4 linked regions of the Anolis sagrei genome follow. The protein of the gene in region 1 interacts with the protein of each later gene in a pairwise test. Links are inferred from orthologs where the notes say so. Each region holds a gene or a part of one and is shown on either strand. Other genes may lie near its edges. The genes, in order: FHL3, PIERCE1, MRM3 and HIPK1.

Evidence for each region.
Region 2: the proteins of FHL3 (region 1) and PIERCE1 interact in binary tests that used the Homo sapiens proteins (3 or more experiments, as listed by UniProt). The two-hybrid records come from large-scale screens. The link is inferred for Anolis sagrei from reciprocal best matches to the Homo sapiens genes FHL3 and PIERCE1.
Region 3: the proteins of FHL3 (region 1) and MRM3 interact in binary tests that used the Homo sapiens proteins (3 or more experiments, as listed by UniProt). The two-hybrid records come from large-scale screens. The link is inferred for Anolis sagrei from reciprocal best matches to the Homo sapiens genes FHL3 and MRM3.
Region 4: the proteins of FHL3 (region 1) and HIPK1 interact in binary tests that used the Homo sapiens proteins (3 or more experiments, as listed by UniProt). The two-hybrid records come from large-scale screens. The link is inferred for Anolis sagrei from reciprocal best matches to the Homo sapiens genes FHL3 and HIPK1.

The regions. Positions count from the first base shown.
Region 1 is NC_090034.1:86,441,198-86,449,457, reverse strand, and holds the start of FHL3 (four and a half LIM domains protein 3), read left to right. Parts: upstream 1-5,151; 5' UTR 5,152-5,308; intron 5,309-8,051; exon of another isoform or gene 8,052-8,111; intron 8,112-8,260. UniProt on the Homo sapiens protein: Recruited by SOX15 to FOXK1 promoters where it acts as a transcriptional coactivator of FOXK1.
Region 2 is NC_090031.1:4,585,097-4,593,406, forward strand, and holds the start of PIERCE1 (piercer of microtubule wall 1 protein), read left to right. Parts: upstream 1-5,028; 5' UTR 5,029-5,168; coding exon 5,169-5,311; intron 5,312-8,310. UniProt on the Homo sapiens protein: Microtubule inner protein involved in the attachment of outer dynein arms (ODAs) to dynein-decorated doublet microtubules (DMTs) in cilia axoneme, which is required for motile cilia beating.
Region 3 is NC_090031.1:35,292,216-35,300,360, reverse strand, and holds the start of MRM3 (rRNA methyltransferase 3, mitochondrial), read right to left. Parts: upstream 3,155-8,145; 5' UTR 3,117-3,154; coding exon 2,857-3,116; intron 1,343-2,856; coding exon 1,098-1,342; intron 1-1,097. Other genes in the region: GLOD4 (glyoxalase domain-containing protein 4), read left to right, coding at 3,750-3,839, 5,604-5,653, 5,900-6,020, 7,199-7,343. UniProt on the Homo sapiens protein: S-adenosyl-L-methionine-dependent 2'-O-ribose methyltransferase that catalyzes the formation of 2'-O-methylguanosine at position 1370 (Gm1370) in the 16S mitochondrial large subunit ribosomal RNA (mtLSU rRNA), a conserved modification in the peptidyl transferase domain of the mtLSU rRNA.
Region 4 is NC_090024.1:202,602,617-202,610,656, reverse strand, and holds the start of HIPK1 (homeodomain-interacting protein kinase 1), read right to left. Parts: upstream 3,068-8,040; 5' UTR 2,592-3,067; intron 1-2,591.

The sequences.
Region 1 (8,260 bases):
TGACTTTGGTGGAGAGGTGGCTGCCAAGGTAGCGGAAATGGTCAACATTTTCTAATGTTACACCATTAAGCTGTATCTCTGGCTTTGGGGAGGGGATGGCTGGTGTCTGCTGGAACAGCACTTTGGTTTTCTCGATGTTCAGTGACAGGCCAAGCTTCGTGTATTCTTCTGCGAAGGTGTTTAGAGTGGCTTTTAGATCTTCTTCTGAATGCGCAGAGACAACATTGTCATCAGCATACTGGAGTTCTATAACAGATGTTGTTGTAACCTCGGTTTTGGCTTTCAGTCTGCTGAGGTTAAACAGCTTGCCATCTGTCCGATAGATGATTTCCACTCCGGTGGGAAGCTTCCCATCAACAAGGTGAAGTATCATAGCAATGGAGATGGAGAATAAAGTTGGGGCAATAACACATCCCTGGAATACCCGGAGAGGTATTCCACAGTGGGTAGGCATATTCAGCAGCAGAGTAGCAAAGTGCAAGGGCAGATATCTTCACTGTCTGGTTGTGATCGCCAGGTTTTGCCTGTCAGCTTTCATATATAATTTTTAGCACCCACTTTTTGCTTGGTACGAGGGTTGAATGAAAAGTAATACCTTCACCTTCGTTACTTGGGTTTGGATGAGAATATTTTAATAAACACAGAAATAATCCTTAGAATGTGCTCTTTAACTCCCACTATTCAGTTTCCACATAATCACCAAACAATTGGATACATTTCTGCCAACGATGAACAAGTTTTCTGAAGCCATCACAGAAGAAGTCGACACTCTGTTTTCGGAACCAGTGTCTCACAGTTCTGTCATCCTGGGTACCCATCGTGCACAGATCTTCCGATAGCCAAGCAAAGCAATAATGTGACCCACACATTCTTGTGAAATGTCGATTATGCTTGAAATTTCTCTCTGAGTGAATCGTCCTGAATCAATCTGTCAACCTTTTGCTTGGGAAACTCGGTGGTTGCTGTCACAGGACGTCCAGCTCTTTGTCACGCAAGTCAGATGTTCCTCTCAACATCTTTAAACTTACTCGCCCAATGACACACAGTACTCACATCAACACAATCACCATGAACAGCTTGCATTCTCTGATGAATCTCCTTTGGGGTGACATCTTCTGCTGTCAAGAATTCAATGACTGCACGTTGCTTAAGTTGCATTGACCAATCATCTGTGCAGGGTTCCATACTTTGCACTTTAACAACACAAACGTTCAATGCTAAGGCTTCCCGCCAAAATGGAACTGTGGAGGAGAGTCTACTGAACAAGCCAGGACCTGCCACATACCAGTACTGCCATCTGTTGAGGAATTATGAAGATGGAGGCATCTAACCCTCATATTTAAGCAGTGCTTCTTGTAGGTCGGGAAACGATCCGGGGTAACTCCCAGGTATTTTGGTGTGCTGCAATGCTCCAGTGGGATTCCTTCCCAGATCATCCTCAGAATTCAAGATGCTTGTCTGTTCTTAAGGTGAAAAGCACATGTCTGTGTTTTAGATGGATTAGGAATCAGCCATTTCCCCCTGTAATAGGCAGTAAGAGCACCTAAAGCTTCAGAGAGCTTCTGTTCAAGCATTTCCAAGCTCCCTGCTTGGGTGGTGATGGCATGATTGTCAGCATAGATGAAACTCTCTGTCCCTTCTGGCAATGACTGATCATTTGTGTCAATGTTAAACATTGATGGAGTGAGCACGCTTCCCTGAGGCAGGCCGTTCTTCTGTTTTCGCCATCTGCTTCTCTGGCCCTGGAATTCAAGAAAAAAGTTCATGTTTTGTAGCAGATTTCCTATGAAGCGGGTGAGGTGGTAGTCCTTTGTGATAGTGTAAGTTTTTCTCAGGAGAAGACGATGATTTACAGTGTCACAAGCTGCTGACAATGTAGATGAAACTAACTGTCCATTCTGGCAATGGCTGATCATTTGTGTCAATGTTAAACATTGATGGAGTAAGCACACTCCCATTTCAAAGCTCCCTGCTTGGGCAGTGATGGCACGATCATCAGCATAGATGAAACTCGCTGTCCCTTCTGGAAGAGGCTGGACATTTGTGTAATTTTTTTTGTCGTGTCAGGAGTGATTTGAGAAACTGCAAGTCACTTCTAGTGTGAGAGAATTGGCCGTCTGTAAGGACGTTGCCCAGGGGACGCCCGGATATTGTGATGTTTTTACCATACTTGTGGGAGGCTTTTCTTATGTCTCTGCATGAGGAGCTGGAGCTGATAGAGGGAGCTCATCCACGCTCTCCCTGGATTCAAACCTGCGATCTGTTGGTCTTCAGTCCTGCTGGCACAGGGGTTTAATCCACTGCACCACCGGGGGCTCCTCATTTGTGTAAATGTTAAACATTGATGGAGGAAGCACACTCCCATTACAAAGCTCCCTGCTTGGGCGGTGATGGCACAATCATCAGCATAGATGAAACTCCCTGTCCCTTCTGTCAGAGGCTGGACATTTGTGTCAATGTTAAACATTGATGGAGCAAGCACACTCCCATTTCAAAGCGCACTGCATGGGCGGTGATGGCACGATCATCATCATAGATGAAATTCTCTGTCCCTTCTGGCAGTGGCTGGTCATTTGTGTAGATGTTGAACATGGATGGAGCGAGCACGCTCCCCTGAGGCAGGCCGTTCTTCTGTTTCCGCCATCTGCTTCTCTGGCCCTGGAACTCAACAAAAAAGCTCCTGTTTTGTAGCAGGTTTCCTATGAGGCGGGTGAGGTGGTAGTCCTTTGTGATATTATACATTTTTCTCAGGAGGAGGCGGTGGTTCACAGTATCATAAGCCGCTGACAGGTCTATGAAGACAGCTCCTGTGGTCTGCTGCTTTTCCAAGCCATCTTCTATGTGCCGAGTCAGGTTCAGCACTTGCGATGTGCAGCTTTTGCCTTTCCTGAAGCCAGCTTGCTGTGGGATCAGACAGGGGTCTATTTTTTCCATAATTCTATGCAGAATAAGTCTCTCCAGAACTTTGTAGAGGTGGCACAGCAGGGAGTTTGGTCTGTAGCTTTTTGGATCATTACGGTCTTTGCCTGGCTTCAGGATGGCAATGACTCTTGCTTTCCTCCAGATTTTGGGGATCTGACAGGATGCAGTGCAGTTGTTCATCAGCTCCAGTAACCAGCACTTTGCTTTTGGGCCAAAGTTCTTGATTTGTTCCATTTGTAGATCATCCAAGCCAGCTGCTTTGCCATTCTTACATTTATTGAGAGCCATGTCCAATTCAGTAGATGTAAAGGGTTCGTGAAGGTTGTTGTTCTCAATCTCTTGTTGTCTGGCTATTGGTTTCTTTCCTACTTTGGTGGCAAGGTTGGGTTTCCCGTTCTTCAAGAGTTGGTGTGCTATCTGATCTGCCTTTATGTTGGCATGGGTATTAGTTTGTGAGGGGTCGTTGCTCAGCCATCTTAGCAACCTCCACGCCTTCTGGCTGCTCCTGCCCATGTCGACCTCTGTGATCAGATTGATCCAATGTTCTTTCTTGGCTTCAGAGATGGAGGACACAATGTTCTGCACTGCCTGAAGAGTCTGCTCACTAAATGGGCCTTCGAAGTGGAGTCTGTAATAGTTTTCCAACAAGGCAGCTGTTTCAGGAGTAATGCCTGAAGGTAGTTGGTTCTGCAGCCTCTCGGTATCGAGGCCCGTGAGCAGGTTTTCCCGATTTCAATAAAATGCTCGTATTCCTCAGGGATTGGCGCGGCCGATGTGATCATGTCATCTAACATGTCTGAGAATTTAGTCCAATCTGCCTTTCTGAAGTTGTATCTTTGTTTAAATCGAACTTCCTGAGGCCTTATTGTTGGGAACAGTTGGCATATTATTGGTCGGTGCTGTGTGTTTGGAATTGGTGGTCCCACTGATTTAGTGCAGTGCTGTACAATGCTGTCGCTCACAAATAAGAGGTCTGGGCAGGGGCGGCTCGTCCATTACGCGAAGTAAGCGGTCGCAGAACACTCTTTTTTTGCCAGGGGTGCAGAGGTGCCTCTGTAAATGCCCCTCGACCGCCACTTGAGGAGCGCCCCCTCAGCTCACAACAGCCCTAGCAGTCCAGGGGGAGCCTCGTCTTTCTTGCCTCGCTGTCGGGCGATCCTCTTCCCAAAGGGGCCGTGCCCTTGAGCCTTGCCTAGCCCCTCTCGTTCCTGCTCCACCCGGCCACCGGGTGCGCAAGCAGAGCCAGCACTCAGTCATTCTCCGCGTTTGATCCCTTCCCCATGACCAGCTCCCTTTCCTGATCCCCCGGCGCTCCACCCGCCTCCTCTCCCCAATCCATGGGTGGGCCAAGGGGCGGAGCCACTGCACCTGGCCCGCTTCGGGTCCGGAGGGGTGTCTGAAGACCCCAGCGTGCGCACCAAAAGTCGCCTCTTCTCCTGACTTTCTCTTCAGCCATTGGGACCAAGAGAGAGAGAGAGAGCCCCTCTGGCTGGAAGTATCTCCCACCTCCGCTCCCTCCTTTGTTTTTGCGCCTACCTTCAGGAAAGGTGGGCATCTCCACCTCTCTCTCTCTCTCTCTCTCTCGGTCCCAATGGCTGAGAAGAAAGTCAGGAGAAGAGGTGACTTTTGGTGCACACGCCGGGGTCTTCAGGCACGCCTCCGGACCCAAAGCAGGCCAGGCAAGGGAGCGAGTGTGGCAAGTGTAGTTACTGGGATGTATAGTTCACTTACAATCAAAGAGCATTCTGAACTCCACCAATGATGGAATTGAACCAAATATGGCACACAGAACTCCCACGACAAACAGAAAATATATATCAATGATTGGTTGGGGGTGGGGGGGGGCGCCAAAATACTGTTTGCTTACCGTTGAAAATTACCTAGGGCTGCCTCTGGGTCTGGGTTATAGCCTCGGTGCCATCTCCCGCTATTGTAGGATGGGGGGAGCTTGCTATCATGGATGAGTGATAGTTTGTGCAGTTCAGACCAGGAGAGGACAGCCTCTCCATTTCTGTCCTCTTGGGCATAGCCCCATACGTGGCTATGGCTGTTGAAGTCACCAATTACTACCGCCCTTTGGTGCCTATCGAAATTCTCGGGGGAGGAGAAGCAGAACTCTTCATTTGGGGGCTTGTACACAGAGGGGATGGTGAGGGAAGGAGAGGGGCGGGGACTTCAAGGGGGCGGGGCCGCAGAGGAGTGGGCGGGGCTCAGTTGGGGGTTCCGCCCCTCCCACCTCCTCCCTTCCAGCCGGGCGGGGAAGAGCTCCACCTTGGAGGGACGGAGGGAGAGGCGCGGGCAGGACGGGCCCGGTCCTCCGGCGCTGGACGGGAGGAGGAAGGCAGCGAAAGAAGGAAGGGAAGAAGGAGCCCCGAAGGAGGAGCAGGTGAGGCCAAGCGAGGGAAAGAAGAGGGGTCCAGGAAGGGGGGAGCCTTGAGGAAGGGAGGCTCTTTGTCCTGGGTGGGTGGGGGTCTCAGTCCAGCGCCCCACAAAGGACATTCATTGAGAAACAGGCGGAGGGAGAGCGGGCCAGCTCCCTCCCTCCTTTTCCTTTTCCCTTCCTTCCTTCCTTCCTTCCTTCCTTCCTTCCTTTAAAAGAGGCATGTGGTGCTTCATTGGGGGTCGTAATGCCCTTGCCCCCCCCCCCCATCCCCTCAGGAAGTCGTCCAGGGAGAAAAATCAACATCACCCCTAATCATAATAATGAACTCTACTTCCCTTGTGAGGCTGAGGGGCTCCCAACAGGACTAGGGTGTCCCAAGGCCAGCCTTTCTCAATCTGAGGGTTGGGACCCCTGCGGGGAGGGTCGTGAGGGGGGTGTCAGATGGGTCGCCCAAGACCATCAAGAAACACAGTATTTGTATTTGTTGGCCCGGGGGTTCTGGGTCGAAAGTTTGGCCCAATTCTCTCATTGGTGAGGTTCAGAATGCACCTTGATTGTTGTTGAACTGTAAATCCCAGCAACTACAGCTCCCAAACGTCAAGGTCTATCTTCCCCAAACTCCGCCAGTGTTCACGTTTGGGCATATTGAGTTTTCGTGCCAACTTTGGTCCATATCCATGCTTTGATTGTAGGTGAACTATCAATCCCAGCAACTACAGCTCCCAAATGTCAAGGTCTATTTTCCCCAAACTCCGCCAGTGGTCACGTTTGGGCATATTGAGTTTTCGTGCCAACTTTGGTCCATATCCATGCTTTGATTGTAGGTGAACTATAAATCCCAGCAACTGCAACTCCCAAACGTCAAGGTCTATTTTCCGCAAACTCCGCCAGTGTTCACGTTTGGGCATATTGAGTTTTTGTGCCAACTTTGGTCCATATCCATGCTTTGATTGTAGGTGAACTATAAATCCCAGCAACTGCAACTCCCAAATGTCAAGGTCTATTTTCCCCAAACTCTACCAGTGTTCACATTTGGGCATATCGAACACTTGTGCCAAGTTTGGTCCAGATCCATCCTTGCTGGAGTCCACAGTGCTCTCTGGATGGAGGTGAACTACAACTCCAAAACTCAAGGTCAGTGCCCACCAAACCCTTCCAGTATTTTCTGTTGTTCATGGGAGTTCTGTGTAAGATTGGTTCAATTTCATCATTGGCGGAGTTCAGAATGCTCTTTGATTGTAGGTGAACTATACATATCAGCAACTGCAACTCCCAAAAGTCAAGGTCCATTTCCCCCAAACTCCACCAGTATTCACATTTGGGCATATCGAACACTTGTGCCAAGTTTGGTCCAGATCCATCCTTGCTGGAGTCCGCAGTGCTCTCTGGATGGAGGTGAACTACAACTCCAAAACTCAAGGTCGATGGCCACCAAACCCTTCCAGTATTTTCTCTAGGTCATGGAGGTTCTGTGTACCAAGATTGGTTCAATTCCATTCTTGGTGGAGTTCAGAATGCTCTCTGATTGTAGGTGAACTATAAATCCCAGCAACTACAACTCCCAAATGTCAAGGTCTATTTTCTCCAAACTCCACCAGTGTTCACATTTGGGTATATTGAGCATTTGTGCCAAGTTGGGTCCAGATGCATCCTTGCTTGAGTCCATAGTGCTCTCTGGACGTAGGTGAACTACAACTCCAAAACTCAAGGTCGATGCCCATCAAACCCTTCCAGTATTTTCTGTTGTTCATGGGAGTTATGTGGGCCAAGATTGGTTCAATTCCATCGTTCGTGGACTTCAGAATACTATTTGATGGTAGGTGAACTATAAATCTCAGCAACTATAACTCCAAAATGACAAAATCAATCCCCCTGCAACCAGGCATGTAGCCAGGGGGGGGGCTTGGGGGGCTTCAGCCCCCCCCGAAATTTTCATGGTGGTTCGCGAAAAGGCCTTAATGGTGCATTATTTAAACTGTTATGTTTATTCATATCATGATCTGATCACCATAATCAATATATCCCATATGCATGGGGGTATTGGGGTAACGATACAAAAGGTTTGCTAGGCTAGCCCCTCTTTCACTCAGACTCAGCCCCCCCCCCCCCCGAAACTCAGCCCCCCCCGAAACCCCCCCTGAAAAAAAAATTCAGCCCCCCCCGAAACGAAATCCTGGCTACGGGCCTGCCTGCAACCCCACCAGTATTCAAATTTGGATATATCAGATATTTGTGCCAAATTTGGTCCAGTGAATGAAAATACATCCTTAATATCAGATATTTACATGACGATTCATAACAGTAGCAAAATTACAGTTATGAAGTCGCAACACAAATAATTTTATGGTTGGGCGGTCACCACAACATCAGGAACTATATTAAGGGGTCATGGCATTAGGAAAATTGAGAACCACTGCCCTAGGCTATCTGTCCTCCCCGAATGGGATGCAGCCCAGGCACAAAGCAGTGCTAAACCCAGGGCGGGGTGGGTGCCGGGGAATGACTCTGGCTTGCAATGAAACAGGAGACTAGGGGGTGAAAGGGGGGGGGGGCTCCTGTCCCACTTCCCCACATCCCTCCCCACAATGGCTGGGCCTTTAGTCCAGAGGGGCTCTTACAAGGAGGGCCTCTCCCCCCTCCACCACCCAAGTTTCCAGATGTCTAGAAGGGAGGAGGCAGCTGACTGAAGCAGACCCTTCCTTTCTCCCTTCCTTTTTTTTCTTCCTTCCCCTTTTCCTTCCTTCCTTTGTCTGCCTTCGCCTCCGTCTGTCCCGGTGACTCAGTGGAGAGGCAGCTCAGGCCAAAGGTGAGCAATACCATCCTCCTCCTGAGTCAGCAAGGATTTTGGGGGGGGGGGGCACCCTTACTTTCTCTTAAAGGCAGTGCTTCTCAACCTTCCTAATGCTGCAACCCCTTAATACAGTTCTTTATGTTGTGGTGACCCCCAACCATAAC
Region 2 (8,310 bases), on another chromosome or scaffold:
CAACTAGGGTTCCATCCATCCATCCATCCATCCATCCATCCATCCATCCAGCTATCCCTTCCAACTAGGGTTCCATCCATCCATCCATCCATCCATCCATCCATCCAGCTATCCCTTACAACTAGGGTTCCATCCATCATCCATCCATTCATCCATCCAGCTATCCCTTCCAACTAGGGTTCCATCCATCATCCATTCATTCATCCATCCAGCTATCCCTTCCAACTAGGGTTCCATCCATCATCCATTCATTCATCCATCCATCTATTCCTTCCAACTAGGGATCCATCCATCCAGCTATCCCTTCCAACTAGGGTTCCATCCATCCGTCCAGCTATCCCTTCCAACTAGGGTTCCATCCATCCATCCATCCAGCTATCCCTTCCAACTAGGGTTCCATCCATCCATCCATTCATCCATCCATCCATCCATCCATCCATCCATCCATCCATCCAGCTATCCCTTCCAACTAGGGTTCCATCCATCCATCCATCCATCCATCCATCCATCCATCCAGCTATCCCTTCCAACTAGGGTTCCATCCATCATCCATTCATTCATCCATCCAGCTATCCCTTCCAACTAGGGTTCCATCCGTCTCATCAATTCATCCATCCGTCCATACAGCTATTCCTTCCAACTAGGGATCCATCCATCCATCCATCCAGCCAGCCAGCTATCCCTTCCAACTAGGGTTCCATCCATCCATCCAGCTATTCCTTCCAACTAGGGTTCCATCCATCTATCCATCCATCCATCCATCCATCCATCCCTTCCAACTATAGGAGTCCATCCATCCATCCATCCATCCATCCCTTCCAACCAGGGATCTATCTAAAGCCAACGATCAGATCTCCGATCTGACTCCTTGCAAACGTATCATGACTCCAAAGTTGTACTCCTTTCTCTTCCCTTGAGAAAAGGAGCAAGTGACCGGACTGTATTCCATTGCAGAGCTGTCCCAAAGGCACACCATCTCTCTTCTTCCTATGGAGTAGAGAGGCGGCTGGGCAAGACTCCTCTGGTCTGCCACAATTTTGGAATATTAGAAGGTCTCTTACATAGCAATATATCTTGCTAAAGTTGTTCCAAAGTTGTAAATGAATGATAGATGTTTTTCCAGCCTGAAATATCCTGGCTCCCCAAGTCCTGGCAGATGTTGACTCTCCTTATGTTGGTAAACATAAGGAGCCTTGTGTTGACTTCCTTCTTAACGTAAGGAACCTCATAAATATTTCCTTAACTCACAGAGCCATTGATTATGATAATGTAAAAACTCTGGTCCCCCCCCCCCCCCGCCCCCAAAGTTGTAAATGAATGGTAGATGTTTTTCCAGCCTGAAACATCCTAGCTTCCCAGTTCCGGGCAGATGTTGACTCTCCTTAATTGGTGTTGGTAAACGTAAGGAGCCTTGTGTTGACTTCCTTCTTAATGCAAGGAACCTTGTAAACATTTCTTTAACTTACAGAGCAATTGTCTATGATAATGTAAACACGTTTTTCTGCCAAGGTTCAACAATTAATCATTGTCACAGTTCTCATCAGCAACTTTTAATTATAGTCCATGAATTTTCACCTCTTTCTTGTAGTTTTTGGGCTTCATTCCTTAGGATGGCATCTCCCAAAAATGCTGTATATATATATTAGGCATGGGCAAACTTTTTAACACAAAGCACCCCCTATAGATAGCCATCCAGCCTTTGCAATAATAATAATAATAATAATAATAATAATAATAATAATAATAATAATTTGCAGCTCAGTGCTATGGGATCCTGGGATGTTTAGTTTGGGGAGGCATCAGACCCCTTTGGCAGAGAAGACAACAGGTCTTGCAAAACTATAACTCCCAGGTTTCCCACAGCGTTGAGCCACGGCAGTTCAAGTGGTGTCAATCAATCTGCATTGTTCCCCAGTTTCTCAGAGCTAGAAATTCCTAGAGAGGTGTTCTCCTAGCAGTATGGGATGGGACCCACCTGTGGCGGCATCCCTTCTTGTGTCCCAGGTGGACCCGGGCGTCGAAAAGGTCCTTAAGGGAGAAGAGCTCTTGGACGTTGAAGTAGTCGGGGTGCTTCAAGGGCTCCGTCAGCAACATTTCACTCATATCTGAAAGCGGGAAAAGGAGAAGAACAAGTGCTGCGATTCCACCTTAACTTCACCCCATCCCTCCACATTAGTTGGGGACACCCACGAAACCCCACATAAGGAAACCGCTGCCTGGGAGAAGGTCACTCGAAGGGACAACCCGATGGTCAACAGGAAGACTTACCATTGGGAGGCACTTTCTGCGCAATCACGGTGGAAGCAGGAAGAGGAAAAGAGGAAGACATCCGCACCAAAGAGCTGAAGCGGCCAAGATTGGGGACAACTGGAACAAAAGGGGGAAATACAGCTATCTCATAAATGGCTTCTGCAACCACAGATCCCATAATCCACATCTTGAAATCATTCTAGCATCCATCCATCCCTTCTGATTAGGACTCTATCTATCTATCTATCTATCTATCTATCTATCTATCATCTATCTATCCCTTCCAACTCTAGGATTCTATCAATATCCATCCATCCATCCCTTCCAACTAGGAATCTATCTATCTATCTATCTATCTATCTATCTATCTATCTATCTATCTATCTATCTATCCCTTCCAACTCTATGATTCTATCACTCTATATCTATCTATCTGTCTGTCTGTCAGTCCATCCATCCATCCCTTCCAACTCTATCTGTCTGTCTATCCCTTCCAACTGTAGGATTCATTCTCCCTCTCTCTCTCTCTCCCTCCGTCCGTCCGCCCATCTATCCCTTCCAACTCTATCTGTCTGTCTCTTCCAACTAGGATTATATCATCTATCAATCTATCCCTTTCATCTCTAGGATTCTAACAATAATCTATCTGGGTTGTTGTAAGTTTTTTCGGGCTATATTGCCATGTTCTAGAGGCATTCTCTCCTGAACATGGCCATATAGCCCGAAAAAACCTACAACAACCCAGTGATTCCGGTCATGAAAGCCTTCGACACTTATCTACCTACCTACCTATCCATCCCTCCGTCCAATCCTTCCAACTCTAGGATTTTATCAATATCTATCCATCCACCCCTTCCAACTAGGAATCTATCTATCTATCTATCTATCTATCTATCTATCTATCTATCTATCTATATCTATCTATCTATCCCTTCCAACTCTAGGATTCTATCCATCTATATCTATCTATCTATCTATCTGTCTGTCAGTCCATCCATCCATCCCTTCCAACTCTATCTGTCTGTCTGTCTCTTCCAACTAGGATTCTATCATTTATCGATCTATCCCTTTCATCTCTAGGATTCTATCAATAATCTATCTATCTATCTATCTATCTATCTATGTCTTCCAACTTCTATCATCTATCTATCTGTCTGTCTGTCTGTCTGTCCGTCCGTCCGTCCATCCATCCCTCCCTCCCTCTGTCCACCCCTTCCAACTAGGACTCTATCTATCCATCTATCCCTTTCAACTCTATCTATCTATCTATCCATCCACTCACCCACCCACCCACCCACCTACCCATCCATCCATCCCTCTGTCCACCCCTTCCAACTAGGAATCTATCTATCTATCTATCTATCTATCTATCCCTTTCAACTCTATCTATCTATCTATCTATCTATCCATCCATCCACTCACCCACCCACCCACCTACCCATCCATCCATCCCTCTGTCCACCCCTTCCAACTAGGAATCTATCTATCTATCTATCTATCTATCTATCTATCTATCTATCTATCCCTTTCAACTCTATCTATCTATCTATCTATCTATCTATCTATCTATCTATCTATCCATCCATCCACTCACCCACCCACCCACCCACCTACCCATCCATCCATCCCTCTGTCCACCCCTTCCAACTAGGAATCTATCTATCTATCTATCTATCTATCTATCTATCTATCTATCTATTCCTTCCAACTCTAGGATTCTATCAATTATCTATCCACCTACCTATCCCTTCCAACTCTATCTATCTATCTACTCATCTATCTCTTCCAATTCTCTCTCTCTCTTCCAACTAGGAATCTATCTATCTATCTATCTATCACTTCCAACTCTAGGATTCTATCAATATCTATCTATCCATTCATCCATCTGTCTCTTCAAACTAGGAATCTCTCTATCCACCCACCTATCCCTTCCAACTCTCTCTCTCACTCTTTCTATCTCATATTTTCCAACTAGGATTCTATCTATCTTTCTTTCTTTCTTTCTTTCTTTCTACTCATCTATCCCTGCCAACTCTAGGATTCTATCTATCTATCTATCTATCTCTCTAAGACCTCTTGGTGGTACAGTGGTTTAAACCACTGAGCTGCTGAACTTGTTGATGGAGAGGTTGGTGGTTCGAATCTGTGGAGTGTGGTGAGCTCCCACTGTTAGCCCCAGCTTCTACTAAGCTAGCAGTTTGAAAACATGCAAATGTGAGTAGATCAATAGGTACTGCTTCTGCGGGAAGGTAACGGCGCTCCATGCAGTCGTGCCAGTGGCCACATGACCTTGGAGGTGTCTACGGACAATGCCGGTTCAACAGAAAGGAGAAAAACATGAAAATGAACAAAACCTGGCTACCAGTATTATAAAAAAAAAATCTAAAATAAGGAGGGTATTACTAATTACTAAAGAATTACGAAAGAATTACTAAAAAAACAAGGAAATTCCAGACAGGAAACAATCTGGTCCGGCTAACAGGCAGGAAGCAGCCAGACTTTGAAACTGCAAGGCAGACAAGAGTTCCCAGCTTCCCAAGCCAAGCCTTCCATTGCGAGAAGTAGGATATAATCAACATAAATATAAATAATTGGTGCTCACCTGTCCTCCAAAGCCCTGGAGCCGCCATGCCTGCTTTGCAGGAAGGAAGGAAGGAAGGAAGGAAGGAGAGAAAAGAGAGAAAAGAGGATGGAAGCAGCTTTGCTTTTTGCAGCTCCCTCTGCTGACTCCTCCAAGCACAACTCTGCTGCACCCATTCTCTTTCAAGAGGCCTGTGCCTTTAAGAGCATCTCTTGTTGTGGTCCCCGGTCTCCTAGCAACGGGATGCTTTGTTTCCACCCAACAGCCAATCAGAACCCTCCTGGCTTTGATCCCAGGCCAGTTCATCCTTTGGGACAGAGGTGAGAATCTCTCCGAAATGGCCCAAAAAGAGCCTCTTCCCCAATTGGAACCGCCGACAACGAAAGAGGAAGGCAAAGAGGAGAGGACCAGCGACTATTACCGCATCCATCCGAATTTACCAACCCGCTTCGACCGGCCGGGATGGTTTCGGGGTTACAGGTGAGCTGCGGAGGTTCGAAAGTGGCGTCACACGACATTAAGTATTTTTAGGAATATTTTGTGAATATTTCAGAGAATATTTTTGTGAATATATGTTATGAATATTTCTGCCAATATTTCCATGTTTTGTGACTATTGCTGCAAATATTTTTGTGAATATTTCTGCAAATATTATTCTGAACATTTCTGCAAATATTTTGTGAATATTTCTGCAAATATTTTGTGAATATTTCAGAGAATGTTTTTGTGAATATATTTTATATTTCTGCAAATATTTCAATGTTTTGTGAATATTTCTGTGAAGTTTTGTGAACATTTCTGCAAATATTTTGTGAATATTTCTGCAAATATTTCAATGTTTTGTGAATATTTCTGTGTTTTGTGAATATTTCTACAAATATTTTGTGAATATTTCTGCAAATATTATTCTGAACATTTCTGCAAATATTTTGTGAATATTTCTGCAAATATTTTGTGAATATTTCAGAGAATGTTTTTGTGAATATATTTTATGAATATTTCTGCAAATATTTCCATGTTTTGTGACCATTTCTGCAAATGTTTTTGTGAATATTTCTGCAAACATTATTCTGAACATTTCTGTAAATATTTTGTGAATATTTCCGCAAATATTTCAATGTTTTATGACTATTTCTGCAAATATTTTTTGTAAATATTTCTGCAAATATTATTCTGAACATTTCTGCAAATATTTTGTGACTATTTCTGCAAATATTTTGTGAATATTTCTGCAAATATTCTTGTGAATATTTCTGCAAATATTTTTTCTACAAATATTTTTGTGACTATTTCTGCAAATATTTTGTGAATATTTATGCAAATATTCCTGTGAATATTTATGCAAATATTCCTGTGAATATTTATGCAAATATTCTTGTGAATATTTTGTGAATATTTCAAAGAATGTTTTTGTGAATATATTTTATATTTCTGTAAATATTTCAATGTTTTGTGAATATTTCTGCAAATATTTTTTTGAATATTTCTGCAAATATTTTTGAATATTTCTGCAAATATTATTCCGAACATTTCTGCAAATATCTTGTGAATATTTTTGCAAATATTATTTCTACAAATATTTTTGTGAATATTTCTGCAAATATTATTCTGAACATTTCTGGAAATATTTTATGAATATTTCTGCAAATTGTTTTGTAAATATTTCTACAAATATTTTTTCTACAAATATTTCTGTGAATATTTCTGCAAATATTCTTGTGATTATTTCTGCAAATACTTTGTATTTGTGTAAATATTTTGTGAGTATTTCTGCAAATATTCTTGTGAATATTTCTGCAAATACTTTTGTGAATATTTATGCAAATATTCTTGTGAATATTTCTGTAAATATTTTTGTGAATATGCCTGCAAATATTTTTGTGAATATTTCTGCAAATACTTTGATGAATATGTTTATTTCTGAAAATATTTTTGTAATTATTTTATGAATATTTTAAATATAAATATTTTATTTATATTTTTGTGAATATTTCTACCAATATTTTTTTGGAATATATATATATATATACTCCAGCAAAGGATCACCGCCTTGTCGGGGCGCTGGAGCTTGAGCACCTCAATGATGTCATGAGCGAAACCGTGAAGGGCCACCCAAGACGGGACGGTTGTGGCAGAGAGGTCAGACCAAGCGTGATCCCTGGGGAAGGCAATGGCAAACCACTCCAGTATCCTTGCCAAGAAAACTAAATGGACCAGTACAACAAGAGATATGTCGGTATGCCATTGGAAGATGGGACTCCCAGGTCGGAAGATGGCCAAAATGCTACTGGGGAGGAGCAGAGGATAAGTTCAACTAGCCCCAGATGTGATGACGCAGCTAGCTCAAAGCCGAAAGGAAGGCTAGCGGCCGACGGTACTGGAGGCGAACGACGAATCCGATGCTCTAAAGATCAACACACCATAGGAACCTGGAATGTAAGATCTATGAGCCAGGGCAAATTGGATGTTGTTATTGGTGAGATGTCAAGACTAAAGATAGACATTCTGGGGGTCAGCGAACTGAAATGGACTGGAATGGGCCACTTCACATCAGATGACCACCAGATCTACTACTGTGGACAAGAGGAACATCGAAGAAATGGAGTAGCCTTCATAATTAATAAGAAATTCGCTAAAGCGGTGCTCGGATATAACCCAAAAAATGACAGAATGATCTCAATTCGAGTGCAAGGAAAGCCTTTCAACATCACAGTGATCCAAATATACGCCCCAACCACAGCTGCTGAAGAAGCAGAAGTAGATCAGTTCTATGAGGATCTGCAGGACCTACTGGATAATACACCAAAAAGAGACATTATTTTCATTACAGGAGACTGGAACGCCAAGGTGGGAAGTCAAATGACAACAGGGATCACAGGCAAGCATGGTCTGGGAGAACAAAATGAAGCGGGACGCAGGTTGATAGAATTTTGCCAGGAAAACTCACTGTGTATAACAAACACTCTCTTCCAACAACCTAAAAGACGGCTTTATACATGGACTTCACCAGATGGTCAACACCGAAATCAGATTGACTACATCCTTTGCAGCCAAAGGTGGCGGACATCTATCCAGTCGGTGAAAACAAGACCTGGGGCTGACTGTAGCTCAGATCACGAACTTCTTATTGCCCAATTTAGAATAAAACTAAAGAGATCAGGGAAAATACACAGACCAGTTAGATATGATCTCACTAACATTCCTAGCGAATATACAGTGGAAGTGAAGAACAGATTTGAAGGACTAGATTTAGTAAACAGAGTCCCAGAAGAACTATGGACAGAAGTCCGAGACATTGTTCAGGAGGCGGCAACAAAGTACGTCCCAAAGAAAAAGAAAACCAAGAAGGCAAAGTGGTTGTCTGCTGAGACACTGGAAGTAGCCCAAGAAAGGAGGAAAGCAAAAGGAAACAGGGATAAGGGGAGATATACCCAGTTAAATGCGCAATTCCAGAGGTTAGCCAGAAGAGATAAGGAACT
Region 3 (8,145 bases), on another chromosome or scaffold:
AATCTATATAAATAAAAATGTAATGTTCGTTTGTGGGATTAACAGAACTCAAAAACAACTGGATGAATTGCTGCCGAATTTAGCCACAAGACATTTACTATCCCAAGGAGTGACTATCACTCAAAAACTTTGATTTTTGTCATTTGAGAGTTGTAGTTGCTGGGATTTATAGTTCACCTACAATCAAAGAGCATTCTGAACTCCACCAATGATGGAATTGAACCAAACTGGGCACACAGAACTCCCATGACCCAACAGAAATACTAGAAGGGTTTAGTGGGCATTGACCTTGAGTTTGGGAGTTGTAGTTCACTTACAGCCAGAGATCACTGTGGACTCAAACAATGATGGATCTGGACCAAACTTGGCACAAGTATTCCATATGCCCAAATATGAACACTGGTGGAGTTTGGGGGAAATAGACTGTGACATTTGGGAGTTGTAGTTACTGGGATTTATAGTTCACCTACAATCAAAGAGCATTCTGAATCCCACCAGTGATAGAATTGGACTAAACTTCCCACACAAAACCTCTGTGACCAACAGAAAATACTCAAGGCCATCCAGTCCAACTCCCTTCACCAGGGCAAGAAAATGTAAACAAAGCCCTCCTGACAAAGAGCCATCCAGCCATGGATATAGATAGATAGATATGATCCACACACGCACACACAGATAGTATCGTAGATTTGAAAGGGACCCCTAAAGGAGGACAATGATATGTTGAATGTTCCAGTGCAGGCAAACCAGATAATGTCTACATCAACACTGACAAAGAAACAACAAGAAGTACTGATTATCCACAAACAGAAAGACATAGCATCTATTAGAAACCAACACTTTCTCATTATTTTCAAGATCACCAGAGTGGGCCACAGCAACGGGTGGCAGGGGACGGCTAGTATTACAATATAATGGTATAGAATAATATAGTAATATTTAATACTGATATTGTACTATGCTAATAACATAATATATTGTATCATATATATATTGTAAGCTGCTCTGAGTCCCCTTTGGGGTGAGAAGGGTGGCATAGAAATGTCATAAATAAATCAATAAATAATAAATAATGCCTGTGGCTGCCCCTGGCTCACCGATGGCTCCTTGAGACGTGACAACGTCTGACCAGGCCTTGAGGTCTTTGCTGTGCACCTTGATGAGGGAAGCGCTTCTCAGCTTGGCAGTCGGCAGCTCCTTGAGGTGCTCCGTTGAGATGAAGAACAGCGTCTGAGGGGCGGCCCCCGCCTCCAGGGCGTCCGAAATGAGCCGCCGGCCTTCTAGAAGGATCTTCCCGTGCTTCTCGCGGAAGGCCCTCGACTTGGCCAGCGTCACTACTTTGCTGCTCAAAGAAAAAAGTCCGTTACGGCCTCTCAAAAAGCCCCAGAGAGCTTTGATTCGGCGATTTCTCTTCCTCCTTTTAGACTATTTCTGCCAAGTTCGAAAATATGCAAATGCTTCAGCGGGAAGGTAATGGCACTCCAGTCCTGAATCATTGTTAGTAATATTATTATTAGTAATATTACATGTAATATAATATATATAATTATTATATTGTATTATCATTTTTGTTGTATGTTGTGTCTGCACTGTCTGTTTTTGATAAGGCCAACTGGCTAATCAATAAAATGGTTGTTGTATTATCACACACACATATATATATATCTTATATATTTCATTTTTTACATATAGTGTACATATTTCATATTTCTATATACCATATATATGTTACTTAGATTACAAAGAAATAGATCTTTCATCTCTCTCTCTCTCTCTCTCTCTCTCTCTCTCTCTCAAGACCAGCACCTTGAATTGAACTGAACCGGCAGCCAGTGGAGCAGGCATAGCAGGGGGGTGGTGTGCTGCCTGTAGGTCGCCCCAGTGAGCAATCTGGCTGCCGCTCGCTGGACTAGTTGAAGTTTCCGAACAGTCTTCAAGGGCAACCCCACGTAGAGAGCGTTGCAGTAGTCTATTCAGGATGTAACAAGAGTGTGGACCACTGTGGCCAGATCAGACTTCCCAAGGTACGGGCGCAGCTGGCGCACAAGTTTTAATTGTGCAAAAGCTCTCCCGGCCACCGCCGAGACCTGGGGTTCCAGGCTCAGCGATGAATCCAGGATCACTCCCAAGCTGCGAACCTGCGTCTTCAGGGGGAGTGTAACCCCGTCTAACACAGGCTGTAACCCTATGCCCTGTTCGGCCTTACGACTGACCAGTAGGACCTCTGTCTTGTCTGGATTCAATTTCAATTTGTTAGCCCTCATACAGTCCGACACAGCAGGTAGACACCGATTCAAGGTCTGGACAGCCTCCTTGGTGACAGGTGGAAAGGAGTGACAGATCTGGACATCATCTGCATAGAGGTAACATCGCAGTCCGAAACTCCGAATGATCTCCCCCAACGGCTTCATGTAGATGTTAAACAACATTGGGGACAGAATTGATCCCTGAGGGACTCCACATGACAATGGCTGTGGGGCCGAACAGGTGTCACCCAGTAACACCTTCTGGGACCGTCCTTCAAGGAAGGACTGGAGCCACTGCAAAGCAGTACCCCCGAGTCCCATTTCTGTGAGGCGTCCCTTATTATGTATTGTGGGCTCAGCCTCTTGTAAGCTGCACCGAGCCCTTCGGGAGATGTTAGCGGGGTAGAAATAAAGGTTTATTGTTATTATATATTGTTTTTATCTATTTCAGTATATATATAAATATTTATTTACACATATACTCAAAAACATACTATATACATGGCAGTATACCTAAAGCCAGGCCCTTCTGGTCCCAATGAAGCTGCAGGAGCCGCCCTTCCCAGGCAGGACTACATTTCCCAGGCTGCCCTGCGACCTGGGGCCTCACCTCAGCCTCTTGTCTCCGGGGCCGGCCTTCTCGTAGCGCGGCTCGCTCTCCCTGAGGCCCACTTCCTCCCCGCCAGCCTGGGCTTTGGCCTTCTCTTTGGGACCGGGTGGAGGAAGAGGAGGGACGGCGCTGGGACGGGCAGCCTCCTTCTGCTGGGCGGCGGGGGGCAGCACCCGGACGGGGCTCCTCCGCAGCGCCCGCACCCCTCTCACCCCGACGACCAAGAGCGCGGCCTGCTTTCGCCTCAGCAGCGCTGCCATTTTGGTTCCGGGCAGCAGCTACAAAAGGAAAGTCTCGCGTGACTTATTGCGCTCGCTTGGGGAAAGCCGCTTGGCATTCAAATCATCGCGAGATTTGCCTCTGTTGCTATTGACAACGTAACAAAATGGCGCCCGCTATACAACAAGGCGCCGGAAGTGCGGCCTTCACTTCCGGTGGGAACGCGTCCGCCAAAAGAGAAGTCTCGCGGGACTTGCCGCGCTCGCTTAGAGAAAGCCGCTCGGCTTTCAAGTCATCGCGAGAGTTGCCTCTCCCCCCTCCCACCGTTGCTACTGACAACGTAAGAAAATAGCGCCCGCTATACAACAACAAGTGCGGCCTACACTTCCGGTCAGGGCGCGTCAGCCAAAAGGCAAGTCTCGCGGTACTTCCCGCGCTCGCTAGGAGAAAGCCGCTTGGCATTCAAGTCATCGCGAGAGTTGCTTCTCCCCCAGTTGTTCCTGACAACGTAACAAAATGGCGCCCGCTATACAACAAGTCGCCAGAAGTGCGGCCTACACTTCCGGTCGGGGCGCGTCTCTCAAACGTCAGCGCCCACAATCCCTCCTCTTCGGGAAAGAGCGCCAGGCCTGCTGGGAGTTGAAGTCCGAGATCGGAGGGAAGTAAACGACAACATGGAAGCCCGGAGAGCCTTACACTTCGTGTTCAAAGTCGGCGACCGAGCGCAGACGGCGCGGTTCTATCGGGAGATACTGGGCATGCGCGTAAGAGAGGGGGGGGGGGAAGCAGGGAGTGTGACGTCACCGAGGATCGGCGCCGCAGAGGGTCAAACTTATCGGAAAGGCGTTCTGTCCCCTATTGCTGCTGTTTAGGGAGCATTGGCTTTGTTGTTGTTGTTGTAAATGTTAATTAAATATAATAGGAGGCTAGCTATAAAATAGGAGGCCATCTACAGAGACACATATGGAAATAACAACTTATTAACTTATTAGTGATCAATACTAATTATGAATAATAATTAATATTGACTTGTTAATGATTAATACGAATTGTTATCATTAATGTATTAATATTAAATACTAATTAAGAAGTATTAATAATGTATTACTATTAATATTATCATTAACAATACTATTAGTACATTAATATATATTATTAGTATTAATATATTAACGTTCAATTATACTATTATATTAATGTTCAATTATACTAATTATTAGCCTTTCTTAATATGTTAATATATTAATGGTAATAATTACTATAATTGAACATTAATAAATGTTCAATTATAGTAATTATTACCATTAATATATTAATGTTTAACTATAGTAATTATTAGCCTTAATATATTAATGTTCAATTATAGTAATTATTAGCCTTCCTTAATACATTAATGTTCAATTATAGTAATTATTAGCCTTAATATATTAATGTTTAATTATAGTAATTATTAGCCTTAATATATTAATGTTCAATTATAGTAATTATTAGCCTTCCTTAATACATTAATGTTCAATTATAGTAATTATTAGCCTTAATATATTAATGTTTAATTATAGTAATTATTAGCCTCAATATATTAATGTTCAATTATACTAATTATTAGCCTTCCTTAATACATTAATGTTCAATTATAGTAATTATTAGCCTTAATATATTAATGTTTAATTATAGTAATTATTAGCCTTAATATATTAATGTTCAATTATACTAATTATTAGCCTTTATATTAATCTTCGGTTATACTAATTCTTAGCCTTAATATATTAGTGTTGAATTATACTAATTATTAGCCTTAATATATTAATGTTTAGTTATACTAATTGTTACCATTAATATATTAATTTCTAGTTATACTAATTGTTACCATTAATATATCAATATTTAATTTTAGTAATTATTAGCCTTAATATGAAAGGGTCTTTGAGTGAAATTTGCAAATACTAAGTAAGGGGCTTTGAATGAAATTAACAGCAAAAGAGAGACACACCCTTTCTCTGACTTAAAAAGAGCAATATGGAAGAAAATGTTTTTAAGGAACAAGGTGTGACATGTAGAAGGTACACAGGATGCTTGTGGTTAACTTCAAAGGTTTTTTTTGAAGCGCAGAGGCCGCATGTACAAGAAGGTACTTTCCATCAAAAGGTCAGAATTATTATTCACAAAAGGTGTTTTCCCTATGCTTTTTGTTTGTACTGGGCTATAAAGTTTGCAGATTTCAAGGGAAGAGCATGGCAGTCATTTGAAAGGTAACATTTGCGCATGCTGCCCGGCTGTCCGTCTTCTTCATGAAGAAACTGAAATAAAACCTTGTTTTTTTTATCTTTCATTGGGACTGTCTCCTTCCTTTCGTGCTCCCGCGACGTGGACCTAAAAAGACCCAATTTTGGGTTTCTAACAAGTATATTAATGTTCAATTATACTAATTATTAGCCTTAATATATTAATGTTCAATTATACCATTAATAGTAACCATTATTAGTAATAAATTATTATTAATGTCTGAGAATTCTATAATTTCCCAACAGGTTCTACGGCATGAGGAATTTGAGGAAGGCTGCAAAGCCACTTGCAATGGGTAGGAATATAATAATAATAATAAATACCACTTGGCCTTTCAAAATAATTATTAAGCTGTATAAATGTGAACGGTTTATGTTTTAAATTAGCATTTAAGGTTCTAAACATTGAAAACTATAAACTCTATGACTATAAATATTATTGGACACCCCAGCCACATACACACAGGCATATTTTCACTATTTTTGTATGTGCCTAGATAGATGAGCCCCCATTAACTCCCATGGATTCTCTGTGTTTCTAGTCCCTATGATGGGAAATGGAGCAAAACGATGGTGGGATTCGGCCCCGAGGACGGTCATTTTGTGGCCGAACTGACCTACAATTACGGCGTCGGAGGATATCGCCTTGGCAACGACTTCCTGGTGCGGATTTTAAACAATAAGTCGCTTTAAATTTATTCATTTTTGATTATTTTTATATTTTTATTTTATTTTAAATTAGAATTTTAAACAATTATAAATTTATTTAATTTTTTTATTTCAAGTTGGTTTTTTAAATAAGTGATTCTGAATGTATTTATTTGAAATAATAAGTGACCCCTGAATTAATTAAATGAATTCTTTTAAATAATAAGCTGTATTAAACCAGTTTTTAAAATATTTTTGTTTAAAAAATACTAAGTTAATTTAAAATGTATTTATTTCAAAACAGTATTTTAAGTACATTATTCTAAATTTATTTCTTTTAAATTAGTTTCAGGTTAATAAGTTACTGTTTTAAATTAGTTTTTATAAAGTAATAACGAATTAATTTAAATTTATTTGTTTTAAGTTAGGTGTTCTTTTTCTCCAAATTTATTCTGTAAAATAGTTAAATTTAATTTATTTTGAATTAGTTTATATAAAATAATAACAAATTAATTATTTGTTTTAAGTTTGATTTTTTATTTATTTTGTAAACAAGTTAAATTTAATTTATTTTAAATTAGTTTTTATAAAATAATAATAAATTAATTTACATTTATTTGTTTTAAGTTGTTTTTTCCCTCCAAATTTATTTTGTAAGTTAAATTTAATTTATTTTAAATTAGTTTTTAAAAATAGCAATGAATCAATTTAAATTTGCTTTAAGTTCTGTTTTTTCCTCCAAATTTATTTTGTAAATAAGTTAAATTTAATTTATTTTAAATTAGTTTTTATGAAATAATAATGAATTAATATAAATTTATTTGTTTTAAGTTAAGTTTTTTTATTTATTTTGTAAACAAGTTAAATTTAATTTATGTTAAATTAGTTTTTATAAAATAGGAATGAATTAATTTAAATTTATTTGTTTTAAGTTAGGTTTTCTTTTTTTTCCAGATTTATTTTAAATTAATTTTTTAAAATAATAATGAATTAATTTAAATTTATTTGTTTTAAGTTAGGTTTTTTTTCTTGATTTATTTTGTAAACAAGTTTGATTTCATTTATTTTAAACTAATTTAAAAATATAATATGATACATTATATTTATGTTAAATATAATAAGTGACGTTATTTAAAAATATTTTTAACCAATAATAAATTAGTTTAATAATAATGCATTATTTTTCCCGGCAGGGAATGACGATTGCCTCCAACCAAGCGGTAAATAACGCAAAAAGGCTTCAATGGCCAATCAAGGAGATTTCGTCCGGTGTTTACGAAACGGAAGCTCCGGGAGGATACAAGTTCTTCCTGGAAGAGAAGGAAGCTCCCAAGAAAGGTGTCTGTGGAGTTACATACACACATAAATATGTTTTCACTTTTATTATTATGTGTATACATAGATAGATTACTAGTATCTTATTATATTAGTCTATTATTGCTACAATATGTATAGATAAGAGGAAATTACAATATTATAATTAGAACTATTATCCTTCTAAATGTATAATAGCAATAAATTACAATACAATAATTTATTATTAATATAATAATCCTAATGTTATAATGTGATATAATACTAATTATATCACGACGCAGTGGGTTAAACCGCTGAGCTGCTGAACTCACTGGCCGAAAAGTTGGTGGTTCAAATCCCGCTGTTAGCCCCAGGTCTTGCCAACCTAGCAGTTCGAAAACATGCAAATGTGAGTAGATCAATATCTACCAATCTGGATGGGAGGTAAGGGCGTTCCATGCAGTCGTGCCAGTGGCCACATGACCTTGGAGGTGTCTACGGACAACTCCAGCGCTTCGGCTTGGAAGAGCATTCACACCTACTTCGATTTGCATGAGGCCCAAACGAGGTAAATAAAGCACAACTTTCAGTAAATAAAGAACAGGGGAACTCCAGACAAGAAACAACCAGGGGCAACTAATCACCTCTCAAGAAAGGATTCCCCCAGGCAGTAAGAAGCCACACCTTGAAACTGCTAGGCCATTCAGTGCTAATCAAGGTGGCCAATGGCAACATTCACACCTACCTCCAACAATTTGTTCTTATAAAATAATAATGAATTAATTTAAATTTATTTGTATTAAATTCGGTGTTCTTTTTCTCCAAATTTATTTTGCAAACAAAT
Region 4 (8,040 bases), on another chromosome or scaffold:
CCCCCAGCCTCCCATTACGAGGTTTCTGGCCAATTCAATAAAAGCACTGACATGCTGGAACATGTCCAGAAAAGGGTGACAGAAACGATCAAAGGTGTTGGAAGCCAAGCCCCCCCCCCCCCCCCCCAATGCAGCTGAAAGAGCTGGGTTATGTTTTGATTGGAGAAAGAGAGGGCACACGATAGCCACCGCTCCGAGTTGCCTCTGGGCCGAGAGGGGCGGTATATAAATATAGTAAATAAATAATAAATGTTTAAATGTTTAAATATTTGAAAGGGCGTCATACTGGAAAATTGAGAAAAGCTTGTTTTCTGCTGGCAATGGATTCCAATTGTAGGAAAAAGAGGAAGGACTTGTTGACGATAAGAGAACACGTAGACCAAGCACAGGCAAACTTGGGCCCTCCCTCCAGGTGTTCTGGACTTCAACTCCCATCATTCCTAACAGCCTCAGGCCCTTTCCTTTTCCCTCTCAGACACTTAAGCTGTTTCTTGCGAGCTCTGTAACCTTGTAAGGGGTGATTGTGCCCAGAGCCAAAGCAGAACTTTCTTGTAATGTATAAATGAAGAAACCTATTGAAACATAAGTAGATGTGGGTATAAGTACCTGTTATGCTCAAATTCACTCTAGAAAAAGCTGGAAATAGCCAGTTTTTTTAACTGGAGTAGCCAAATGTTGTCATAAGTGGATCCAGTGAATGATGAGTGAGAATTTTAAAAGCCTGTGCCCAGCCCACTGAGAATTAATGTTGTCTTGAGCATGTATGTAAAAAACGTCAGTGATATTAACATTAATGACTCAACTGTGTTGCATATTTGGCAATAAGGCACATACATCACATGAGGCCTGACACATTTTATAGTGTTGTATTTAAAGCATTTCTTCTCTGGTTTTCGGTAATTAAAGTGAAGAGGCTCTGATGTGATGCCCTCTTTTAAGAAGACAAACCTTGTGGAACCCCCTAGTCCTGGTTTTTCATTAAGGAACTGGGAGGCATAGGGGATTTATTTGCAAATAAGCTGCGGGTAACTGTCCTGAAAGGGAGGCAGCATACTGACTGAAATTTCACATATGATTCTTAGTTTTTGCAGGTACAATTCACTTTACAACATCTTTGTTCTCACACCCCTTCTCCTTTTCATCTTGTTTAATCCTGCACATGTCACCATTTCATCAGACGCTTATCAAAACAGTTTAGGAAAGCAAATTCAATTCATCAAAATAAAAATATATCAACATGCCATTTCTAATTCCTATATCTAAGGTTTTACTGCTATTGCCTGCTTATATGATTTCCCTGCGCCATACAGAGTTCTTTGCATCTCTTAAGAAGGCGATTTTTTTTTTGTCATGTCAGGAGTGACTCCTGGTGAGAGAGAATTGGCCGTCTGCAAGGACGTTGCCCAGGGGACGCCTGGATGATTTGATGTTTTTATCATCTTTGTGGGAGGCTTCTCTCATGTCCCCGCATGAAGAGCTGGAGCTGATAGAGGGAGCTCATCCACCTCTCCCCGGATTCGAACCTGCGACCTGTTGGTCTTCAATCCTGCCGGCACAGGGGTTTAACCCACTGCAATGATGGCCTCTTTATTGTCCCATTTTGAGCATGTTTTCTTCATTCTGTTTATGTGAGTATTTTCCTGTGTGTGATTTCTCATGGCTTAAGACTAAGGCACATTTCCTTCTAATGCTAAGGACTATGGCTATTTATTATTCAAGTTAAATCAAATTAAATAGGTGACCCTTGTCCCAGTCACTTTCAAAAGAACTGAAGTAAAAACATTAGAAGCACCTAAGTAGGGCAGACCAAATGCCTATCTAGGCCATCATTCTGTTTCCACAATAGTCATCTAAGTTTGTGAAGTCCACAAACAGGTAGATGGCAACCAATATAAAATGGCTAGTAGCCAGTGATAGTCTTTACTACATTTTATGGAAGCGGCTGAGGGGGAAAGGAAAGGGGCCTGATGCTGTCAGGAATGGTGGGAGTTGACGGCATTGGTTTTTATATGATTTTAAAGCTGGTTTTTTAATTTTGTTTTAAATGTTTTGAAGTGTATTTGGTTAAGGCACTGGTTCTCAATCTGTAGGTCCCCAGATGTTTTGACCTTCAACTCCCAGAAATCCTAACAGCTGGTAAACTAGCTGGGATTTCTGGGAGTTGTAGGTCAAAACACCTAGGGATCCACAGGTTGAGAACCACTGGGTTAAGGCATCGAATTACTGCCTGGTTGTAAGCCGCCTTAAGTCACCTTCGGGCTTGAGAAAGGCTGGATTGAAATATGTTAAATAAATAAATATGTCCAAAACACCTGGAGGGAGGGGCCCAAGCTTGCCCCTGCCTGGTCTGTACACTTGTGGGGGTTTTTAAGCAGAGGCTGGATGTCCATCTGTCGGGAGTGCTTTGATGGCGTGACTACGTGATAGAGGGGTTGGCCTGGCTGGCCCCTGGGGCCTCTTCCAACTCGGGTGAATTCTCAGTGAGTGGGAAGGCCCCGGTGGCGCCAGGCTGGGGCCTACCTCTCCCTCCCTCTTTCCGCCCGTCCCTGGGAGGCCCGAAGGCCGCCGCCTCCTCGCTCATTCGCACTTACTCGCCGCCGTTGGGGGCGCCTCAGCCGCGGGCCGGGCCGGGAGCTGCCTGCCGGTGCCGGGGGACGAGCGGGCGCATCCTACCCGCCGGAGACGAGGCCGGCCCGGGCGAGGAGGGGCAGCCGCCGCCACTGCCGGGCCGCCTTGGCCTTGTGGAGCCGGCCAGCCCGCAGGCAACCCCCCGGCGGTTCCGCCAGGCTTCGGCCCTCCTCGCCCGCCCGCCAGCGAGCCGCCTTCCGAGCCGCTGCGGCCGACGTCTCCTCCTCCTCCTGCTGCCGCCTCCTTCGCCTCCGCCGCCGCCGCGCCCTCCTCAGCGGCCCCCCTTCCTTCCTCCCCTCCTTCCCTCCTTCCTTCCTCCCTTCTTTCGCCTCGCCTTCCTCCCTCCGTTCAGCCCAGCTGCTGCTGCTGCTCGCGCGCCCCTCGCCGCAGCCAGGCCCAGCCTGCCGAGCCCAGAGCGGAGGAGAAAGAGGAGGAAAAGGAGACCGGCGGAGGCCAGCGCGCGAGACGCCCAGGCCCAAGCAGTCGAGCGCCGAGGCCTGTGATTGGACGCGCGTCACGTGACCTCTCCTTTCCCCTCCCCCCCTCCCGGAAAGCCGTTGGGCCGCGCGGGGGGGGGGGGGCGAGCCCGGCGCCATGATGGGCCCTCAGCCGCCAAGGGAGGGAGGTATTTCCCAGTCGTGAAGCTCTCTTTCAAGAATATTTTACATATCAAGGCACACACAAAGAATATTTTACATATCAAGACAGGCGCACAGAGATACCGAACGACGCCACAGGCACCGGACTAGGGAGTAAACAAGGACCATTGAGCGTAGTAGGCCAGCCTCAGTCGTGCCCCGAGCAGCAAAGGCCTGGAGTGCTTCTACGGGTCATGGCAGCCAAACTATTAATTTACCAATGTAGATCTTAGAAAAGATTCTAAGATCTACAGAAACTCTCAGCAAGCGAGAGTCCAAAAGTGGCAGGCTCAAACGCAGAACCTCAATCCATGGCTGATACCAAATGAGAGACTCCCTCCTGGGCACACAGAAGACTGGGCAACTTGGAAGGCGCTGGCACCACGAGATGCAGAGCCAACCTTAAGAAATGGGGCTACAAAGTGGAATCCGCGGCATGCGAGTGTGGAGAAGAGCAAACTACAGACCACCTGCTGCAATGCAACCTGAGCCCTGCTACATGCACAATGGAGGACCTTCTTGGGGTAACATCAGGGGCACTCCAAAGTGGCCAGCTACTAGTCAAAGGACATTTAATCAGCTACCAAGCTTGCAAACTTTGTGGTTTGTTTGTTTTGTTTAAAAAATGCAACGCAACTGTTTGGTCTGCCCCTGACACGATAGATAAATAAAACCTCCATGGCTTAACCCTCATCCTCCTTGACTTGAAAAGCAGGCAAGCAGAGGCTCAGGCGGCCTTTCCCCTTTCCTGCCCCGTTTCTCCCGGCGCGTTACTCACGTCTTTTCCACCTCAGCATGGCTTGATCCAAAGGGCTTCTCCCAAGCGGACGAAACTTCTCCAAACTCGGTTCTGTCTGGATGTGTCCAGAAAATAGGACTTCCTTCGGCCAAAGCCTAAAGGAATGGCTGCCTTTCACCCGTCGAAGGAGCCCAAGCGATGCCTTCTAGAATCCTTTCCCGCTCCAAACCGCCTGTGAGGTCTCTTCGGTGGTTCTTTTCCAACGGTTTTCGAAATAGCCCGGGTCTTCTTGAGACCCACGGTTGTGTCCCTTTTTGAAACAACAGCCCTGAAACCCCTCGGGCCCTTTCGGTCTGTCCTTTGAGGAGGGAGCATTCGTGCCCCGCTGCATCTTATTGTCATGTAAATATTTTAGCACCTTGGTGGGAAAGGTTTGGCCATTGGCAAGGACCTTTCCAATCAGTGGGGCTAAAGCAGGTATGGGCAAACTTGGGTCGTCCAGGTGTTTTGGATTTCAACTCCCACCATTCCAAACTGCCTCGGGCCCCAGAAGCAGCTGAGGACGGAAAGGAAGGGGCCTGAGGCTGTTGGGAATGGTGGGAGTTGAAGTCTAAAACACCTGGAGGGCCCAAGTTTGCCCATGCCTGGTTTATAGACAGCCAAAAACAAATAATAACATTTCCTTCGTTAACTTCAGAATCACCTTTTGGCATACTTTTTTCCAGGCATATTCTCTTCAAAGGGCTGAGAAACTTCACATTTCTAGTAATTACATGGCGCAAGTCTTCAGTAACTGAAAGTTGTGTTGCTTTGTTGTTGGGCTTCTGATTTAAGGCGACCATAAGGCACATAATACAATTTTAGTCTGAGGATGACTTGGGTTGAGACAGTGTGACTTGCCCAAGGGGTTTTTTCATTTCTGAGTCGGAATTCAAACTCTATAGGATGCATCTACACTGTGGCGCAATAGGTTAAACCCTTGTACCAGCTGGAGTGCTGATCAAAAGGTCGACACTTTGAATCCAGGAAGTGGAGTGAGCTCCCATCTGTCAGCTTCTCATGTGGGGATTTGATAGAAGCCTCCCACAGGATTGTAACACATCTGGGCATCCCCTGGGCAGCGTCCTTGCAGACAGCCAATATTCTCACATCAGAAGCGACTTGCAGTTTTTCATGTCGCTCCTAAAATTCTACACTGTAGAAATAATGTAGTTTGGCACCACTTTAACTGCCATGGCTCAATGCTATGAAATCCTGACAGTTGTAGTTTTACAAAATCTTGAATCTCCTCTGCCAAAAAAATGAGGGTACCTCAGAAAGATACAAAGTGCGTTGGTTTCTCACCAAACTGCGGATTCCACCTTTCCATAACATTGAGCCACAGCAGCTAAGTGATGTCAAACTGCATTAACTTTACAGTGTAGACGCACCACTAGTTTTCAGGTTGATTTTACATTTATTGACTGATTTCTGCCCCACCTTTCTCTGAACATGGGAACAGAGGGGTCCTACAACAGATTCAAACAAGATAAAACCTGGTGATAAAGCAGTTTATACACATAATTAATCATTACAATCTTGTTTGAATAAAAAAGGTCTTTGCCTACAGGCAGAGGAGGAGCAGATACTGGGCCAGTTTGGTGTAGGTTGGTAGTGTCTTCTGCTTTCTATTCTTTTGATTTTTTTTCTTTTGTGTAAAGCTTAGATATATCCCAGGGTTTCAAAGTAAGTTTATATCCACAAAATCTCATGCTAAAATACAAACTAGATAATGTTAAAAGAGCTGCAACGTTTCTCTCTCTCTACCACTATCTCTTTTCAAGTGGCTGAGAGACGAACCTCTCTAACAAGAACATACAACAAAATCCAGAAAACACCAATACCTTTATTTGGCAAATTAAAAAAGCAAAAAAATTGTCAGGCACAGGAACCACACCTCTGGCTGGTATGTGAGGGCTCCTAAATAACAAGAAACTGCCAGGAAGAAGCTTTTGAATGGTTTTGCATCTCCTTGCCAGGCATCATAAAACAGCACACTTGTAGTGTAGAGTTACAGTATTCTTCTCTTCTTAAGCTTTTATGGCCACCGTTTCAGAATAATATTGTAGGTCAAAGGCCCAGGACTTTGACTTAACTATGTATAATTCTGTTGGCTAGAATATAAATTCGGGAATTGTCAAGATCAGTCCGTACTAATGCAAACAATATGCCTTGAGAAGCAGGAGCCTGGCCTAATTCAAAATATAACTATATTATTTTTTTTTCAGGCTCTGAAAAAGAATTACACAAACCATAAAGATTGCAGCACTTGAAACTGGACCATTTTATCTCTAGAAAATCAGACATAGAGGAAAAGGACATTCTTCATCTTTGATTCCACGCATTTTATGGGGGTGGGGGGAATGAGCATCAAAGGGGCTTACAATAGTCAATAAACTCCATTGAGCCCGTGTGACAGATTTCTGGATAAATATGAAAGGGATTGCCCTCTTAAGTGTAAGCAAATCAAAATATTCCCTCCCCAGATCTGGAGAGCAGTTATTCTTAAATAATCAGGAATAGCAAGAAAGAAAGAAAGGAAATGTGGCAACAATTAATCAGCAATAGTTGCTGTTTTGTTTAGTACAATTGATCATTTCTAGAGGCAGTTGTGGTCCTCCAGATTTTTTGTAGACTACGGTTTTCAAAATCACTGGCTTTAACTGGAGTCCAACAATACCTGAAAGACCATAGTTTTCCCGCCCTTGTTGCACATCTTGCTTTTCTTCCATCATGGATTTTCCAGTCTTTCATTGAGGCACTGTCAATAGACAGACCTTAGCTTCAATACGGTGCCTGTATTATATGACACAGACCAGGAAGGAGAACCATAATGTTTGTCTCCCGATCCTATCTGTAGATATTGCTGGACTGCAAGCAGCCCAAGCCAGTAGAGCCAATGGTGAGGAATGCTGGGAGCTATAATCCAACATCTGGAAGCCATATAATTCTTACTCCTGGCCCAGAAATATAAGTGAGACTTATGAATTTTTCCTACTGTGTCAGAAAATAAACCAAATGTTAAATTAAAGTTACAATTAAGCCCAAAATCCATGGTAGTGGATTACCAGCATGTTGGAACTCCATTTTATTCCACCCTACACACTGAGCTGTCTAAAATGCTGGCTTCTTTCTGCTTCCTGGCCCTCTGGGTTAGGTTTTTTTTTTTTGTTTTGTTTTTTTGATGCACATAAATGTAAGATCCCCCTTGCTCCTGTTTCTGTACTGTTATGCTGTTCCACCAGTAGAAATCCAGTCTTCTATCTTTCCTTAAGTTCTATATAGTATTTTGTGTAAGTGCATAGCAGCTGTGCAACACCAAAAATCTGGAGTTGGCTATCAGACAAATTTGTAAAAAGAAGTAACTGCAAATCTGCATCCATCACTCAAAGAAATATGTTTGATGGAGCTTAGAATGAGTTTTATTAATGTCTGGTCTCAGGCTATGGAACTTCCCTCTTTTGCGAGATAGGCTTATGCTGGACCGACACTGTCATAATGCAGTTGAAAATCTTAGAATCATAGAGTTCATCATGTAGCATGTTCATCATGTAGCATGTTCATGCCATGTAGAGTTCATCATGTAGTGGGATAGAAATAGGATTTTTTAAATCTATATTCTGCTATCTCTACTTATTCACTCCTTTCTCTCCCATATCCTTCACCCCCTTTTTGCCATCCCTCTTCCGATTGCCCCTGTTTGCCACCTCTTTTCCCCCTTTCTTTACCTTCCTTTCTCCTTTTCCACCCCTTTCAACTTTACTTTATTTTAACGACTGTATAATATGAAAATTTCAATAAAGAATATTTTTTAAAAAAGAATCATAGAGTTGGAAGAGACCTAATGGGCCATCCAGTCCAACCGCCTGCCAAGAAGCAGGAATATTGCATTCAAAGCACCCCTGACAGATGGTCATCTAGCCTCTGTTAGTGTACACCCATATAATGCAGTTTAACTTAATTGAATTGAGCAGATTCAGGCTCAGTTGGCTTTAA